Linked DNA regions of Arabidopsis thaliana. The protein of the gene in region 2 interacts with the protein of the main gene of each other region in a pairwise test. Each region holds a gene or a part of one and is shown on either strand. Other genes may lie near its edges. The genes, in order: WNK3, UMAMIT25, NRAMP2 and AT3G52070.

The links.
Region 1: the proteins of UMAMIT25 (region 2) and WNK3 interact in a protein complementation assay, tested with the Arabidopsis thaliana proteins (one large-scale study listed by BioGRID).
Region 3: the proteins of UMAMIT25 (region 2) and NRAMP2 interact in a protein complementation assay, tested with the Arabidopsis thaliana proteins (one large-scale study listed by BioGRID).
Region 4: the proteins of UMAMIT25 (region 2) and AT3G52070 interact in a protein complementation assay, tested with the Arabidopsis thaliana proteins (one large-scale study listed by BioGRID).

Annotation. Positions count from the first base shown.
Region 1 is NC_003074.8:17,872,263-17,877,467, forward strand, and holds WNK3 (with no lysine (K) kinase 3), read right to left. Parts: upstream 3,269-5,205; 5' UTR 2,959-3,268; coding exon 2,890-2,958; intron 2,817-2,889; coding exon 2,779-2,816; exon of another isoform or gene 2,675-2,778; coding exon 2,447-2,674; intron 2,369-2,446; coding exon 2,145-2,368; intron 2,066-2,144; coding exon 1,908-2,065; intron 1,825-1,907; coding exon 1,659-1,824; intron 1,506-1,658; coding exon 1,377-1,505; intron 1,289-1,376; coding exon 750-1,288; 3' UTR 558-749; downstream 1-557. Other genes in the region: CYP71A26 (cytochrome P450, family 71, subfamily A, polypeptide 26), read left to right, coding at 4,309-5,166. UniProt on the Arabidopsis thaliana protein: May regulate flowering time by modulating the photoperiod pathway.
Region 2 is NC_003070.9:3,025,562-3,031,251, reverse strand, and holds UMAMIT25 (nodulin MtN21 /EamA-like transporter family protein), read left to right. Parts: upstream 1-1,702; 5' UTR 1,703-1,929; coding exon 1,930-2,108; intron 2,109-3,498; coding exon 3,499-3,561; intron 3,562-3,637; coding exon 3,638-3,754; intron 3,755-3,840; coding exon 3,841-4,093; intron 4,094-4,206; coding exon 4,207-4,365; intron 4,366-4,452; coding exon 4,453-4,604; intron 4,605-4,699; coding exon 4,700-4,901; 3' UTR 4,902-5,190; downstream 5,191-5,690.
Region 3 is NC_003070.9:17,308,265-17,313,147, forward strand, and holds NRAMP2 (NRAMP metal ion transporter 2), read right to left. Parts: upstream 3,242-4,883; 5' UTR 3,045-3,241; coding exon 2,473-3,044; intron 2,103-2,472; coding exon 1,966-2,102; intron 1,878-1,965; coding exon 1,225-1,877; intron 1,010-1,224; coding exon 779-1,009; 3' UTR 539-778; downstream 1-538. Other genes in the region: CYCA3;4 (CYCLIN A3;4), read left to right, coding at 20-154, 240-323. UniProt on the Arabidopsis thaliana protein: Seems to be involved in iron uptake.
Region 4 is NC_003074.8:19,310,709-19,313,763, reverse strand, and holds AT3G52070 (RNA/RNP complex-1-interacting phosphatase), read right to left. Parts: upstream 1,047-3,055; 5' UTR 1,012-1,046; coding exon 667-1,011; 3' UTR 540-666; downstream 1-539. Other genes in the region: AT3G52075 (uncharacterized protein), read left to right, coding at 344-517; AT3G52060 (core-2/I-branching beta-1,6-N-acetylglucosaminyltransferase family protein), read left to right, coding at 1,737-2,777.

The DNA.
Region 1 (5,205 bases), on a different chromosome or scaffold from region 2:
TTTTCTTCATGGCAGAGCAAGGGAGTGCATGCTTCGACGGATCAGAAACCAATTCCTGAACAAGTATGAGAATTTAGTTTATTTCAGTTTTTGTTTTGATTATTTATTTGCTCTTTGTAGTTTTGATTGGATCCCTTGAGTCCTTGACGCTGCCATATGCTTATATTTGCTTACTCCCTGAAACGCTTTCTTTCCTATAAAGATGTTTTAAGGTAGTTTTATGAAATTTTGGGCTTTTAGCCCATTTATGCCAAATGTTTTGGTGATTAGGTTTATTATCTATGAAACCCTAATATATTATCTTGAGGCATACGCTATTTAAGAAACACCAGTACCCATTAAACCTAATAGGCGAGAGAGAACAAAATATGAACCGCTCTATATCTTCTTCTAAGATTATGAGAGGCGAGCATAGATCATAAGACAACCTTATTAGAGTCTCTGCAAGTGAGTCCAGTGAAGACGAGTAAGGTTCATAAGAGTTGGGTGAAGAGGACGAGGCTAGCTCAGAAGAATCAAGTGAATAAGAACACAGTGATGTGACCTATCATCACCGCGTTCTTTTCTTCTCCCAGACTCTTCTGAGCTAGTTACGTCTTCACCTAACTAATTCAAGAAATATTATTTGACAAATAGTTTTCCTTCAATCATAACTGTCACAATTTTGTTACACATTTACTTACCTTTAGTACAACATAATATTGCAAACCAAATTAATCTTGACGAGAGTGTGTAATGTAAAAAACGTACTAACACAATAAGTTATCAGAATCTTTAACTTGCAATCTCACCAAAGCCTCTTCACAAATCTCAGGAGGAAACTCTTTTAAGAACTCAGTAACAATACGTTCTTGATCTCTCTGCATCTCTTCAATCTCCTCTCTCTGTTTCCTCAACAAAGACTCAAGTTTCTCTACTATAACCCCAACTTCTTGATTGATCGGTCCTTGTGCTGACGACAACTTAGAATTAGACCGTGGCGCAAACGGTGAACGTGAGTCTCCAGCTCCAGCTTTAGGAGAGGACCAGAATTTTCTCCCTGAAGGAAATCTATCTAAATGGAGCGTCTCTGGAGAAGACAAACATTTTTGTACCGCTGAATCATCACCGATAAGTCGAGAAGGGGTCCAATCGGGGATGTGTGAATGTATCTCTGTGTCGATCATTTTAGCTATCGTTGAGATGTCTTGATCATCGGTTAAGTCTAGTTCTTCGACCATTTCGATGGCGACTGAGAAAGATGTGTCTGTCTCTATGTTAAATGGGAAGTGGATATTGCGGATTTGACCTGTATAAAAAATGTTATTATTGTGTCAAAAGAAGATTTAGTAATGATCTGAAGATTTGTAATAAAAAAAGCAAAAAAGATTTTGAACCTTTGGAATCGGTGATACGTAGTTTTAGGAAGATTGTGTTGAGGTCTTTACGTTGGCCTTCTACGGTTAATAAGCCTACCTCAGAATCCGAGAGTTTATCCACGATTCCGTTTCCGTTGTAACCATTTTCTGTGACAATGTTATTGAACTTGGTGTTAGAAAATTTCACATAGAAAAAATATAGAAACTATCTTATGTTACTATTATTGATTTTAACTTTTAAGAAAGGAGTCCATGACACTTCATATTGAGATGAAATGAAATACCATAATCTGATATTACCTTTGTGAGAGCTGACGTTTTCGGTATTTTCCTTGTAGCATTTCAGAAAAGGATCATCAAGTAGTTCCTTGGCTGACAAGCGTTGCGAGACCTTTGCGATACACTTCTCTATGAATGCTCTCACTTGCGGATCAGTCACATTTAAAAGAGCGGCTGGTTTGATTCCCTAAGAAGCATTGAGAAAAATGGATCGACAATATGGAAAAAGTCATTCTTGATTGGATATGAGATGGGAATATGATCACTTACCGATGTAACTTTCCTATAAATCTGAGCAGCATTTGTGCATTCGGAATACGGGTATTCAAAAGTTACCAGCTCAAGCAAACACATTCCAAACGCGTAGATATCGACAAGTACATTATAGTCCTCTTCATAGAGTTCCGGCGCCATAAATTCAGGAGTTCCTTAAACAATTTCAAACACAAAATTATAGTTTCACAATGGAGAAACTTTTTCGTTTGAGAACAAGATTAAAGATCTCACCGATGACGCTATGAGCAGAGCGAGCGCGGTGCAGAATCGCGGCTAGCCCTAGATCTCCAATTTTGACCTCACCTTGGTTCCCATTAATGAAAATGTTATCACATTTAAGATCTCTATGGATCACAGGAGGATCATGGCTATGTAGATAAACAAGCCCTTCTAAGATCTGCCTTGACCATTTCTTCAATGCTCTTAGATCAACACACTTATGTTTCTTCCGGTACCTATAAGGGTTTGTCAAACATGAATAATATTGATCAAATAAAAAAGATTTGATTTGACTTCTGAGAGAGGAATCTGACTGTCTAAGATTTCCGGAAGTGAAGACTTCGGTGATGAGATTGATAGTCATGTGTTGGTGATCGATCCAAGAAGTGTAGAATTTGATGATGCTTTTGTGTTTAAGGGTTTTGAGTAAGTGAACTTCAGAGTAAAGACGATCTAAATCCTCTGAGCTACAGAATTTATCATCTAACTTAACTTGGTTCCAAGCCACTTCGATTCCTTCAAGTTGGTCAAATGCTCTGTATCTGAAGAACTCTCTGATCAAAGAAACCCTTTAGTGACTGTGTCTTGTCCGAATCTAATCTGATTTGTCTCTGTAGTAATAACAGAGATCTAAGAAAAAGGATACACTTCTTTGAAAGCTCCTTTGCCTAGAACTTCTTTATACTGAAAACATGAGAAACAAAAACATTAGAATTGAGAAAAAGGTAACACTAAAATCAAGTAAAGAAGAACAGACCCGGCCATAGCGACCAGTGGGATCAATCTCAACGAATTCTTCCTCGGAGTTATTCTCGTCTTGTCGCATTCTTGGTTACTTGCAATTCAAAACAGATGATAGGAGTTCTTGAGAGAAGAGAGAAATTTAGTCAAGGAAGAACAAGTTTTGAAGCAGTTTCTGATAATAATAATAATCATTACTTAGCTGTCTTTTTGTGTATAAATCGATTATTTAGATTTTGTGCCATTAAAACCAAGCTTAAGCTTTTCCAGCTGCTGATCATAATGGTGTCGACTGTAGAATGTTGTACACTCTCTCTCTTTCTCATCTTCGAATTTAGGACACTCAGATCCACTGGACAAGACCACGTGGCAAAGGTGTGGGTCGTTGCTTTTTTCGCGCCATGGATCTGGTTTTTTATTTGATTTTCTTCTCATTTATTGTCATGTTACTCTAATCAATTATTTTGCTTATTCAGTCAACTTCATGGTGTTGTGAATATAAAATATTCGGACTTTTTTTTTCCCCTTCTTAACTCTTAAGTCACTGTTTTAGCTGACTAAGAACCCTATAATTGACTATCCTACAAATCGAATAATGGGTTTGGTAAATTACAAAATGTTTAGCCATTGAACCCGCTTGTCATGGTAACGAATTCGATTTTACTGTGTGTAAACAACAATTTGGACTTCAGCTTCAGTTCTTTTAAACTTAAGGAAACTTTTCACTAAAGGGTTTTGCTCTCTCTCTCAGGATTAATAGAATAATAGTCATAGTTTTTGGTGAAACATAAATATTCAATGTTGTTACACTTTAAATAGAAACTTGTACTGACACAAATCACTACACTAATGTTATGATCATTTGTTATAATCTATTACTTCTACTTATATCTCAAAATATAAATGTTTTACATATTGGAGACAGAATGTTTGAGACGAATTAGGACATTTAAATTTTCATGGAGAATTGTTTGTTGAACAATGTTGTCGTTGTATTTTTGATGAGTATGAATTGGCGGTTCAGCCGTTTAAAAACCGATTATATACAATGATCATCAAATTTTTGTAAGGCCCATTGGGCCCAGAGTATATAAATCCTTAGAGCTGACGGCAGCCTGAGACCATTATCCTAGGCACTTGTATTGTATGGTGGTAAGACACATCGTGGAAGCACCGAAAGACTAGAACGGTGACACGACCAAAATAAGACATAAATCGTAAACGCACCAAATGACTTTCACAAGGAAAAATCTCGAAGAACTAAACATTAAAAGACTGGTGCATGCATAAATACATAAGTCCAAAAGATTGAGTGGACAGTAATTACGTACTAGTACTACCGTGAAGAAACTTGGCTTGTATATGTAAGTCCAAAAAAACCACAAATAAAAACTCTTCACAAGAACACGTTTTGATGTACTTGAAGAATCCAGACATGATGATCATGTTCTTTCTGTTATGCTCAATAATCTTTGTAGTTACCATCATAATTTTCAGAAAACAGAAGAGAGGGAAGAAAAGAAACACACTTCCGTCACCACCGGGACTACCGTTGATCGGAAACCTTCATCAACTCGGCCGCCACCCTCACCGATCACTATGCTCTCTCAGCCACCGGTACGGTCCTCTTATGCTTCTTCACTTTGGCCGTGTCCCCGTTCTTGTAGTATCTTCAGCTGAATTGGCTAGAGACGTTTTGAAGACGCATGACCGTGTTTTCGCAAGCCGGCCACGGTCAAAAATCTTCGAGAAACTTCTTTACGATAAGCATGATGTGGCCTCAGCTCCTTATGGAGAGTACTGGAGGCAAATGAAAAGTGTGTGCGTCCTCCATCTATTCAGCAACAAAATGGTACGATCCTTTCGAGAAGTGAGAGAAGAAGAGATCAGTCTGATGATGGAAAAGATCAGGAAATCGATTTCTTTGCCGGTAAATCTAAGCAAGATCTTGGTGAGTTTAACTAACGATGTGATATGTAAAGTTGCTTTGGGACGGAAATACGGTGGTGAAACGGATTTTAAGGAGTTAATGGAGAGACTAAATAAACTATTGGGGACGTTTAGTGTGGGGAGTTATGTACCTTGGCTTGCGTGGATTGATTGGATCCGCGGTTTAGACTGTCAACTAGAAAAGACGGCAAACGATGTTGATAAGTTCTTTGAGAGAGTTGTGCAAGATCATGTCGATGGAAACAGAGATATGACTGATTTTGTGGATGTATTGCTCGCTATTCAAAGAGATAAGACCGTCGGGTTTGAAATCAACCGTGTTAGCATAAAGGCAATTGTCATGGTGAGGAAACACACTTTTGAATGATACCAATTCAGATTT
Region 2 (5,690 bases):
GTAGAGATTTGATCAAGATAGAGTGAAGATCGAAAGCTTTGTAATAAATTGTAATAATGGTAAGCCTTAAGTGTGTGGGCCTTATTTCTCTTATTTTAAGCTATAGTGTGTGAGTGTGATTCTTTAGTGAATTTAAAAACAAAGCCTAAGACTTTGTATGTTGGTGGTTGACAGTGACAGACACATAACTCAAGCTTACTGTTGGCTCCAGCTCCAATGTAGATGCTAATTGTTCATACATAAATATGCATATGCATCCTAAAGTATATATCCAAAACGAATGTACAATGGAATTTTCCTTTTGTACGTAACAACGAAAAGATAAGATCGAAAAAATATGCGGCGAAAATTTACGTTGGAACTTGGAAGCCAAAGAGGACGCGGAAATTAATCATCTGGACGCCAACGCTAGCTTGTTTGACTTATGCAAATGGAGCATTACTCATAATTTATTCATCTTCAACTCCAAAAGCATTTCGTATAAAAATTAACCACTGATATCCAGCAAAATGTTAAGCATCACTTACTTTCTCAAATTTCAGCCAACAAAAAAGTTTAACGTGTTTGGTATACCTATGTGCTGACTACAGACCAATGTTTTATCTCTATCCATATGAAATGACATTCTTGCTCAAGGAAGTCACTGTACACCTAAGGAAAGGCCTTTTAAGAATAAATGAGGCCTTTTAAGACCAATAATTGGCCCAACAATATATGTTGTTTTGTATATGAGATTTTCTTATATTATACAAGTTTTCATTATGCATTTTACTTTAGTTTACTAAAGTTTTATATATAAATCATTATGTTTCAGTATAGTTTTTAATTAAAAATTAATTAGTTTTCTGAAAATTATACTAGCCACTCTAGTTATATCCTACTTTTTAATGATATAAATTCCAGTTATTTTCAAAGATATTCTTAAATTACGTATGTCCAACCCATTGTGTAAATGATTACCTAGTTCATACATTAAAAATATATAGTATATATACAGTATGCAGTCGAACTGAAACATGTAATAATATAATCATGAATTTAATTATATATTAAATTTTAGAAATAATTAGATGCATACATTTTGCGGATACTTACCTAGTTATATTTATATTGCATAAGATGCATGCCATTCAATATATATTCGATAATCCATGCCCAACTTCCAACCCTTTTGGGATATAAATAGTTAATTTACCATTTATGATATATATTACACACACAAAAGTTTGACAAAAAGCAAGAGTGATATAATGAAAATCAATTCAAAATACGTAAGATAATACTAATTCGATATTGTTAATCAAGCGATAAACCAAGCCCTTGGTTTAATATCACAGAAACGAGTTTTAGCAAAGGCAAATTGATTGCTTGAAGCTTGAGAAAGACATTCACAAGCTCCACCAAACCCATGAAAAAACGGAAACCAAAAAAATGGATTAAAACGAGGAAAATAAGTTAGATTTTTTTTTGACAAAACGCCAATTTGGATTGTATTAGTAATCAGCAAGGAGAAAATTTAAATAAATTGCCAAAAATATCAAATGATTCATATCACCTATTGTTTCGTGTTCTTATGCCCTAAAGAGAGTCCAAGTGTTACAAGCAAACTTCATTCTCGAACCGTTTCTCACCTTTCTGTTTAAAACATCTCTCTCTATATATATGTATGTATATAAATAAATATATGTATGTGCATGTATATATAAATGTGTGTATATATACATCTTTGGCTATAAATATAAGGTCGAACCAAAATAAAATATAGATTTGGGGAAACTAATAAATGATATAGAGAATCCACCTCTCTCCCTTATTTTTTTTTCTTGGTTTCTTGACCTATTATTATTGATTAGTAATAGTGAGAGAGGCATATTTTGGAGATACACATAAACACATAAATTGGAAGAATAAAATAAAAGAGAGTGAGAGATGGCTAAATCAGATATGTTGCCGTTCTTGGCGATGGTGTTGGTGCAAATCGGCTACGCAGGCATGAACATTACGTCGAAGATGGCTATGGAGGCCGGTATGAAGCCACTCATCCTGGTCGCTTATCGTCAGATATTTGCCACTATCGCCACTTTTCCGGTCGCATTTTTTCTCGAACGGTAAAAAAAAAACCATACTAATATCTGCCCATATACATCTTATTTGATCAACTAACGATTTTAGACATGTATGAATTACACGATTAAAACAATTGCATCGATGAAATGTTGAATTTGTTTTAATTCTTGAATAAAGCATATGGGTGTTTTTATTACTTTTTTGGGGTTAAAAGTAATTAGGTTTTAGGTGGTGAGTCTATGTTTTACAAAGATCAGCAAGAAATGCTAAACTTTGATTAGCTAAATTTTTCTTTTAGCATTGTTTTTTTGTGTTTTCAAGTTTGTCTTAACTGCGAAAGTAGAAAATGATGAAATCATATTCATCAACATAAACGTCAAAATGGTGAGTGCGTATATTAAAATATTAACGACGAAAAACCATTTACTAAATGGCTTTGTGAGTCTCATGTAGAACGTTTTTACGTCTTTGAACTTTCTTGCGTCACCTAAATTTATTACTTTCCAAAAGTTTCAAAAATCAAGCTTTTTAATTTATTGACATAGAAGTACTGCATGCTTAAAGTCTTTTTTTTTTGTGGTCAAGATTTTTTTTGATATATGTTAATAACTTAATTCATCAGTACTATACGTTGAATAGATTTAAATTCATTAATTTACTTCTTATTATTTTACAATTTTGGCAACAAATGAACCTCCATTTAGAAGACTAAAAATTAAAAACACTAAACTAATAATTAAGAAAAAAAGTTTAGCACGACATCGTCTTATTTTCCGGAGATTACGATAGAATACGCATATAATGGTATATGGTAAGCTATAAGTTTCTTGATGAATAATATTAATTCAGAATGTGAAGAAAAATGTGGTAAAGAAAAAAAAGACAAAAAAGTGGTAAAGTGACGCTGATTAATTAGTTGAAATGTAGTAGACACTAGCTTTTTTCTTTTGTTTATTGGGATTAGTATTTACCGTTATTTTTTCATAATCATGGTACCGTCAATGATTTTGGTGGTATGTGGAAACCTAAGTAGTTACATTATCATTAATTCCGTTTTCCGAGAGAGAAACAAATGAGAAATGTGACGCAGTCTCACACAATCCACGCGTCACGTTTCTTTCTTAAACCGAAGCACATGATGACAAACAAATCATGATGCCAGGTGAGTTAAGCGTCGTCAGGTGCCGTGCCATCTTCATTTGCCAAGACACGTGCTTCTTCAATTACGTTTTTTACTCTGTTTCTCCACTCTAATCTCTTCATATGATATGAGAAGTGAATTTGATTGTTTTCTTGAGTCTCGGTTTAACTTAACCGGGTGGTTTTAGGATTAGTTGCATGATTACATTCAATGAGAAATGCTTTAATTGATTAATAATGATTAGTGGACTAATGAAAACATAAATTTTTCATACACGGTTTCTTGTGCAGGAAGACAAGACCGAAGATCACACTTAGGATTCTTGTCCAAGTCTTCTTCTGCTCCATTACTGGGTATCTTACATACACTTTACCTACTAATTGCAATCTTACTTTGTTATAAAGCGATTTACATTGATTTTCTTTGCAGTGCGACTGGAAACCAAGTGCTATATTTCGTAGGACTTCAGAATTCATCTCCGACCATTGCTTGTGCCTTAACTAATCTCTTACCAGCGGTCACTTTCCTCCTCGCCGCAATATTCAGGTTATATGAAATTAATCTTAATTAAGTTTCCTTCAGACAATACTCGTTTATGATTATTGCTTAACACAAGACTTTTTTCTTTTCAGACAAGAAACCGTGGGGATCAAGAAGGCATCAGGACAAGCCAAAGTGATAGGGACGCTAGTATGTGTGATCGGAGCCATGGTTCTCTCCTTCTACCATGGTCACACCATCGGCATTGGAGAATCCAAGATCCATTGGGCCTACGCTGAAAACATCACGAAACATGGTTCCAGTTCTGGCCATTCTAATTTCTTCTTGGGACCTTTTCTTATTATGGCTGCTGCCGTTTCTTGGGCCGCTTGGTTCATTATCCAGGTAACTTAATTACTTAATTAAAAAAAAATGTAGCTTCAAACAATTTGAACCCACATAATGGAAAATGAAACTAAATTCTCATTTGGTTATGATAAATATTATTTTGGTTACAGACGAAGATGAGTGAAACATTTGCAGCACCGTACACGAGCACACTACTAATGTGTTTGATGGGAAGTATCCAATGTGGAGCCATTGCTTTGATCTCCGATCATACAATCTCTGATTGGTCTCTCAGCTCTCCTCTCCGCTTCATATCCGCCCTTTATGCCGTAAGTCCACATACATATACTATGATCATTAGATAACAATCTTAAGCTAAAAATATATGACACTAGTATAAAACACGGATCATGCAGGGAGTGGTGGCGTCTGCGTTAGCTTTCTGCCTAATGTCATGGGCTATGCAGAGGAAAGGTCCTCTGTACGTCTCTGTTTTCAGCCCTTTACTTCTCGTAGTTGTCGCCATTTTCAGCTGGGCTCTTCTTGAAGAGAAACTCTACACCGGCACGTATGTTTCTATACATCTTTATCTATCTCTCTGTGTGTTTAAACATTATATAAACGAGATGATGATGATGAATTTATATGATATATGTATATTAGGTTTATGGGATCAGCACTTGTGGTTATTGGTCTCTATGGCGTATTGTGGGGGAAAGACAGAGAGGTGAGTGAGAAGGAAGAAGAAAGGGAGAAGGTGAAACAACAAAACCATAAAGTCAAGAGTGAAAGTAATGAAGATATTGAATCGAGATTACCGGTAGCAAGTAGTGGAAATGGTTCCACAAGGTCTACATCGCCTTAAAATGGTGATTGCTTCTTCATCATATATAAGTATGAGCTATGGAAGAACCTTTTGGGATTTCTTGTTATCTAAGTTACTGCAACTAAATTGGATTTTCGGAGTGTTTAATTTTGTATCCCATTTTGAGGCTAATGATGGAGTGTTGATTTGTGTGTTCATCCTATGGACAACAAATATCACCTGTTTGATCTCTATATATATTCAGTATTCTTAATCTTCATCGTTTCCATTATCTTATTTTCTTTCTAATAACCTATTTCCTTTATCCCCAAAACAAATCAAATCATAGTCTTCAAGTAATTTATTTTATGTTTTGTCAGAGGGTGAAAGTTATTACAGACCTTCAATATTCATTTAGACCCAAAATGTAAAATAGTGCCTTGAAACAGAGGGTTTCGGTTCGTGCAAGTCAATTACAATTGGCTGTAACGGTTTAATCCTGGTTTAGTAACTCAAGTGTTATATACGAATCAAAACAGAGTCGCTGTTCTGTTTTGTTAATCTTCTTCGTCATTCTTGATTACGAGTTGCAAGGTTTATCTCGGTTCATGTACCTGTAATCGATAGATATAGTAGATTTGATACAGAACATGGAGAATCACATGCGATTTAGTTAGACTTAATTGTCAAAGACAAACACTATGGACATTTATTAGTATTATTGACCACCTGATTTTGCCATAAGGTCATAATTCATAGAAGCAAAAACAGAATTAGATCTTACAGAAAAAGATATATTATATTATATCCCAAGTGTTTATTTTTATCCTTATCAAGTTCAGTTCAATT
Region 3 (4,883 bases), about 14 Mb from region 2:
CTTCTGGTGATGCAAACAGAATCAAATGCTAGAAGAATACACAAAGTACAAAGCAGCTGATCTACAAGTGTGCGTGGGTATCATACATGACTTGTATCTAAGCAGAAGAGGAAACACTCTAGAAGCTGTTAGAAATAAGTACAAGCAACACAAGGTAAATTCAACAATTCAATGATGTAACTTTAAACTTGTGATATATTGCAACAAGAACATTCTAATATCTGATTCTCTTGGTACAGTACAAGTGCGTTGCGACCATGCCTGTTTCACCGGAGCTACCTCTTGCTTTCTTTGAAGATATTACCATTAGAGGAATGGCGTAAAAGAAGCTTGAAGCTTATGTATTGGAAGTGTTAGTTACCTGAATTTTGGGTTGTATATATCTGTTAGAATGGCAGATTAGTATTGAGTATTATCTCTTTTAGCGTATGTTCAATGATTTTTGCTAACACTAGTTAAGAAACTTTTTTTTTTTTGCTTGACCATTTTTTCAATGGTTTATTAGATTTTTATTGATTTGTTTTCTGCTTTTTTCTATGATGTAAAAGCCTCTTTAAATCATATTGGAATGTGCACATCCTCTTAACAAAAACAAAAAAGTACAACAAAGACTTTGCCACTACATATTTGTGATGTTAACATTCACAAAAAGCTAAGCTAACTCTTATCACCACTTTGGCGTTTCAATATGTATAAGACTATAGTGGATGAAGTTTGTTTACTGTATCTTCTTGACATGTAACAAATGGTCTTGAGGGCAGTTATTTTTGTGCAGCTACTAGCTATTGGAGACGGACACTCTTTTGGGAAGTTCTATGGAAGAGGATGACCAAGGAGAAGGAAAAAAGTTGCTGTGTGAAATGAGGTACACTATAAAGGCGATATAAGCAGTCGTCCAGACGCAGACCGTAACTCCAAACAGAAACCCGTCGACTTCTGATACAAAGAAATCCAACAGAAGATACCCATTGATGATCATTACAAGTGCAGCCACAGTCCAAGCTATTCTCTGCAATGTAATCAATAAATCCAATCAACTTACAAATACTCACTCTTCATGCTTCTCTATTCCATTGAAGGACTTTCAATTCTACATGTTTACTAAGATAATTGCACAAACAGTGAAACTAAAAAAGTCGAGACACCTAAAACGATAAGACTCAACACTAATTCACCTATTGTGGTATCCTATGGAGACTTGTAGTAAAAGAAGTGGAAATTTACCTGGAGAATAGGCCCAATCTTGAAGTCTCCCATAATTTCTTCTTTGGATACCAAGGTTAGAAGAGGGAGAAGAGCAAAAGGAATTTGTACAGACTGAAGGACATTGAGCCATTCATTCAAAACATCCAAGGAAGCTTCAGAAGTATTGAACACGATTGCCACAATCATTGTAGGCACAATAGCACAGCTTCTTGTTATTACTGCCCTCATCCATTTCTTAAGCCGGAGATTCAGAAAACCGCCCATTATAAACTGTCCAGCATATGTACCAGTTATCGTACTGCTTTGTCCGGCTGCTAACAACCCGATACCCCAGATATAAAGAATCGGAAGAAGCCCGCCTCCAAACTTTTCTTGAAGATACTGACCAGCATTAACTAGGCCAATGTTATTAGCTTTCTCAGTTCCATAAAACCCCTTTGCAAAGACAGTAGTCACAAACAAGTTAATCATGAAGGAGATGAAAAGTGCGACGGATGACTCGATCAAATAGTAATTAAGCGCTTCTTGAACCCGGGATTTCCTCTTCGGATCGATTTTCCTCGATTGTACAAGAGCCGAATGCAAAAACACATTGTGAGGCATTATAACACAGCCAACAACACCTACAGCTTGCCTAATTGTCTTTGAGCTAAGTCTCGGTAGTAAAATACCTATCCATAAACACAAAGATTTGATTTTTAAGCACTCAAATCAAAGCAAATAAAGTGAAATTCAAGAGTAAAAATCTGAAATCTTTACCTATCATAAGTTCTTTCCCACTCGGTTTTGTTTCACCAAACATCCAAGCAAAGGACAAACCCATAGTTGCGATCAAAACTGCAAAAACAGCTTCTAACTTCCTCACACCGTAATTCTCTAGAAACAAAAATAAAAAACTGTTTGCAACAAATTCATTAGCCAAGTTTTCAAAATACAAAAAAGCAAGTTTCTTAATTTCAGATTCGATCACAAATCGTTAAACCAATTCTCTACTGATTTGTGAGTTTGGATCATCTTAGCAAAGTTTTACAAGAAAACAGCCAAAGTAAAAGCAAATTCTCAACTTCAGATTGAATCATGAATCTCTAAACCAAGTTTCTACTGATTTGTGAGTTCGAATGATCCATACTCAAACTCAATACCGCTAAGATGATCCGCAAAGTTTTAAAATTTCAGAATGAATCATAAGATTCTCCAAACCAAGTCTCTACTAATTCTACGAATCCAACATCTCTAAAGAACGAATAGAGTATCGAAAGGACTCACCAATCGGAAGCAGTAATAACAACACCAGCCCAAAGAGGCAAGAAGCCACGGCTAAGAATCTGAATAGCAATAGCACTACCAATAACCTCTTGAATATCAGCACCAATCAAAGCAAGTTCCGCCATAGACCAAAGCACATACCTAGCCCAAGTAGGATACTCATCACGACAAAGCTCAGCTAAATGACGACCAGTAGCTACACCGACTCTAGCTGACAACATCTGAATCAACAACCCCATAGCTGTTGCCCACATTAGTAGCCACAACAGAGAATAGCCAGCGATTGCACCAGCTTGTAGATCTCCTTCTAGATTCCCTGGATCCAAAAACGCTATACTCATTAAGAAACCTGGACCGGTGAATAACCAGAGCTTCCGCCATGAGAATGGCGGTGGTGTGTCTCCGGTTGTTGGATCGTCGGGTGATTCGAAATCGACGATTAGGATCTTTTCGTTTGTTTCGAAAGCCGCTTCGGATTCGGAATCGGTGGATGGGAGAGATTGTGAAGGAGGAGGAGGAGGAAGAAGACGGTCTTCCTCTTCTTCGAGATTCTCTTTGACGTCGTTTTCCATGGAGGAAGAGGGAATATTCGGTGAGGGTTAAATCGGAATATTCTGTCGGTGGTGGTGGTGGTGTCGTCGACGTACCTGAATTTTGAATTGGAGGGATAAAAGAAGAAGAAGACGCAGGCACTTAATCAGATGCTTTTTAAAAAAGAGATTAATGCGTTTCTTTTTCGTAACTTTTTGGTACCAGATTCAACTTTATTATATTAATGCCTAAAAAAGAAGAAAAACTTTATGTTATAAATTTGCTTTGAAATTATGTATTTAGTGTAGTGTTGCCATAGTTGTATTGTCACAAATTTGAATAAAGCTTTGCTTTTTAATGACGTTAATTGAATACAAGGTAGTGAATAAAGTGTGTGTTTTATACATTTTTAGATCCATTGCTTGATCTATCTCTTCCTCTCTTTTATAGATCACAATGTGTGAAACTAAATATCCCACACCAAAAGTTTATTGAGTTTCCAATATAAGATTCATGATTAGTTTTTTAGAGCTTCATGAATAGCATAGTTGATATGATTGTATTACTCACATTCCAAAAATTTATGAGCAGAAACTCAACCATTGATAAAATGTTTTTTTTTTTTTGATGCGATGCAAATTATGAAAATTTAACCTCCTCATCCGAAAGTCTTTTAACTAGAACTCAGTTTTAATCTCATCAGAAATTACTGGTTTACATTCAATAAGCTTACTAAATTTTTTTGCTGAATTTTCCAAAGTGAACAAATCATGAGGATTTTTAGTTAAGTGAATATTTAGTGACTATTTTTCTTTTTTTCTTTTTTTTTTGTATCATGAGGATATTTAGTGACTAGTATTTTTGTCAATCCCTTCATGTGTGTTTTCATCACTCATTATTTAAATCATAAAAACATGTTATTCGTTTTTTTTGTGTGTTTCAACTTTCAAGCATGAACATAATTAGTATTTCTACTGTACCTTCTTTTACCATATTTCAATGAGTATCTACATAAAATAGCCATGGATTCAAAAAAAATTAAGAGAATAGCCATGAGCTACAGGGGTAAGTCGGAAACACATGTAATTTTACATGTATAACCTTAGACATCAAAGCGACAAGACACTGTTTGGGGAGCGTATGATTCTGGGTTTGAAATTTGAATTCTATTGCATTATTCGGCCCAAGTTTGTCTCACGACCAAAGTAATAACCCTAAAATTAAAAAAAAAAAAAAAAAAAAAAATTTTTCTCACCGAAAAAACCTCTCTCGGCGGCGATTAATTTCATCGTCGTTGCTCTCATCTTTTCGATCCAAGTAGTAGTTGTTTCTAGAAATTGATTGTGTTTCCGATTATCCTTTTCAAATCGTCTTCTCGTTGCAGTCGCCGGTGACAATCGAAGGATTAATTTTTGGTCTTCCCTCGCCGACGATTTGGGTAAGTAGAACCACTGATTTCCGATTATTTACAGTTGCTCTTCTTATTTCTCTTCCCCTATACCTTTAATTGCATGTCAATCATCGCTTGTGTCTAGATCTAAAGTTCGGTTCGTTGTTAACTAACCCTAATTTTGTTTCGTGTACTGTTGATGAATGAAAGTTAGGCGACCATCGAGAGTTTGCGGCTAAAGTCTCTGTTTTTTTTTTGGGAATCCTTCTGTGCTTTTTTGGAAAACACATGAGGTTTGTAAATATTGATGTGCTTTGTTTGAATAACCCACGAGGTTTGTAGATATTGCGTCCTTTATCTGTGTTTCTTACATGCAACTAACCCATTTTTTGTCTCTTACTATTCACGAAAGAAGATTAGGCGATATCGGAGGCTTTTGTGGCTGACGCTGTGGGTTTTGTTTGAAAAACACTTGAGGTTTGTAAATATT
Region 4 (3,055 bases), on a different chromosome or scaffold from region 2:
TTGCTGGGAATTTAGCATATAGGAGAGATGGAAACTCTTCTTTTTCCCAATGTTCCATCTATAGCGGAATTGTTAGATGACGCTGAAGTTGTTGGATTTGATGAAACAAAGGAGGAACGTTTTTTCTTTAAGATCATTTGCTGATTCTTGTTTCCTTACCTGAACACTCCACAACCAAGCTTTTATCCCAAGCTCTTTGCTTATAGCTGACTTAGAGGTTGGATTGTACAGGGAAAAGCTCGCAGTGATATGACTATGGAGGAAAGGTTTGGTGCAGCACACAGAAGGAAAATGGATGGGGCTCTCTGTTTAAGGAGGATAAATTGGAGGAGGCCAATACGAAATGGTTAGGAATCTCTCTTTCTTTCTAACAATTACGGTCAAAGTTTTGGTTTTCAAGGCATACTCAGCGACTCTGCCCGAGGCTCTTGCATCTCCTTTCGGCTCTAAAACAAAGAGCCTTAACTGGTTGATAGTGTTATCGCAATGGTTGGTTTGCCTTTTCTGCCGGAGTTAAAGCAGATAAAGAGGTATGAGAAGCTTAACAATTCAATTATATAAGACCAAAGTGAAAGATCACAACTCTCAATTCTCCTATGTCGGAATTGAATTTCTTATCTTATTACTGATTTGTGCAGAATTTACAAGGAGGAGCTAGCTTAGCTACTACCATGAAGATTTGGGGAAGCTGAGATGTTGCCAGGAGAAGTAAGCACAAACCAATAGTTGAGAGATATAAACATAAACAGCAAAAGAGAGACTCATAAGCATCAGGTCCTTGACGTCTCCTTTCTTCTTCTCTGGCTTCAGATTCTTCCCAATCTTCCCAGCCTCTGAAATCATCCTTCTCAATGTTCTCTGGATCACTCCTTCATTCTCTTCTGGTAATTTCTGCTTCCGACAAGACATCACTCTCATAGATCTAACTCCGTGTCTGCTTGAGGCTTGTCTCTTTGTACGGTGGTTAGTGCAGAGTGGGTGGTAGTAGAAGGTGGTGGAGAGAGCCGCCATGAGAAGATGAATAGAATAATTGAAGAAAGTTTTTTGTTTTGGGAATCAAAAGTGAGCAGGAAAATATCAGAATCTTGATAGCTTAACGACAAAAATGATTTGAAAAATGGGTGGATAGATCTCATCTAACACACACACATGTAGTCACAAGGTACACGCCAATGCAAAACCAAATTGGCCGAATTTCTATTCGGTTCGTTTCAACTAATTCGGTTTGTTTCGATTTCTAAACCGAAAACCCAAATTTTTTGATCCAAACCGATTCTGAATGGCCAGGTAATCAGGTATAGTCGGAAGCATCTACAAATTCACAACAACAACACATTATGTCTGACTGGTGAGATAAATGATGACTGAGTGGATAAGCAAAGAATAAAATAATGTCATAAAGTCAACAACATGTCTCTGTGACTCTATCTCTATCCTATTATTAGATTTAATCAGATAACTTTAAAATCTGGTTGCTGAAAAAACCGTATCTCATTATTATATAAATAGAGAGAGAACAGCCCCACGTAAACAAATAGCGATAGAGCAACTGTGTCGATTGTCCCAAATAATTTTAAAAATAATTTCACGTGTCCCCATTTTGCTGACGTCATTATTCCCCTTTTTCCTTTTTATTGTCACATCAGAATTTTTTCTAACTCATTCATTTCAATCAATCTTCTTCTTCTTCTTCTTCTTCTTCCTCAGAGAAATTCTGTGTTGTTGTATACAGAGAGATGTTCTCATCTTCTACACTCGTTTATTCTCTATCTCTCTTCCTCTCTCTTTCTCTTCTCTTCTTCCTCTTCATCCTCTCACCACACATCCTTCTCTCTTCCTCTACCCTCATTTCCACCGCCGATGACCTAGACGACCTCTCTCTCTTCCACCGCGCCGTCGTCTCTTCCTCCACCAACAACAACCGTCGTCTCATCTCCCTCTCTCCAAATCCACCCCCAAAGATCGCTTTCCTCTTCCTAACAAACTCCGATCTAACCTTCTTACCTCTCTGGGAAAGCTTCTTCCAAGGTCACCAAGATCTCTACAACGTTTACATCCACGCAGATCCAACCTCCTCCGTCTCTCCTCTTCTCGATTCTTCATCAATCAACGCTAAGTTCATCCCGGCGAGAAGAACCGCACGAGCTTCTCCGACGTTAATCTCCGCCGAACGACGATTACTAGCAAACGCAATCCTCGACGATCCTAACAATCTCTATTTCGCTTTAATCTCACAACACTGTATCCCTCTCCATTCCTTCTCTTACATCCACAACCACCTCTTCTCCGATCATCATCAACAAAGCTTCATCGAGATCCTCTCCGATGAACCGTTCCTTCTGAAACGATACAACGCAAGAGGAGACGACGCGATGCTTCCTGAGATCCAGTACCAAGACTTCCGTGTTGGATCTCAGTTCTTCGTATTAGCGAAACGTCATGCTCTAATGGTGATCAAAGAGAGAAAGCTATGGAGGAAATTCAAATTACCATGCCTTGATGTTGAATCTTGTTACCCTGAAGAACATTATTTTCCGACTTTGTTGTCTCTTGAGGATCCTCAAGGATGTAGTCACTTTACACTCACACGTGTTAATTGGACCGGTAGTGTTGGTGGTCATCCTCACACGTACGATGCCTCTGAGATCTCGCCGCAGCTGATTCACTCTCTGCGGAGATCTAATTCGAGTTTAGACTATTTCTTCGCCAGAAAATTCACGCCGGAGTCATTGCAACCGCTTATGGAGATTGCAGATGCTGTGATCTTTAGGGATTGAATTCGGTGAAAGTAAATTAGGTATAACACTGAAATCTCAATGTGTAAATATGAATACAGTTTGAGAGTTTAGTTTCAATTTGCTTATCTTCTTGTTATTGTGTTCAGGTTTCAGATATCATCATAAGGAAGGTTTAGGAAGAAGCTTGTGTTGGCGCTCGAAGAAGAGTGGCTAAATAAAGATGAACTTCTGTGTGTGTGTGTGAAAATTGCTGTGTTTTTTAAGCTTTTGTGTGTCTCTAGGGAAGGTAGAGATATGGGAAAATGGATGTAAAAAAG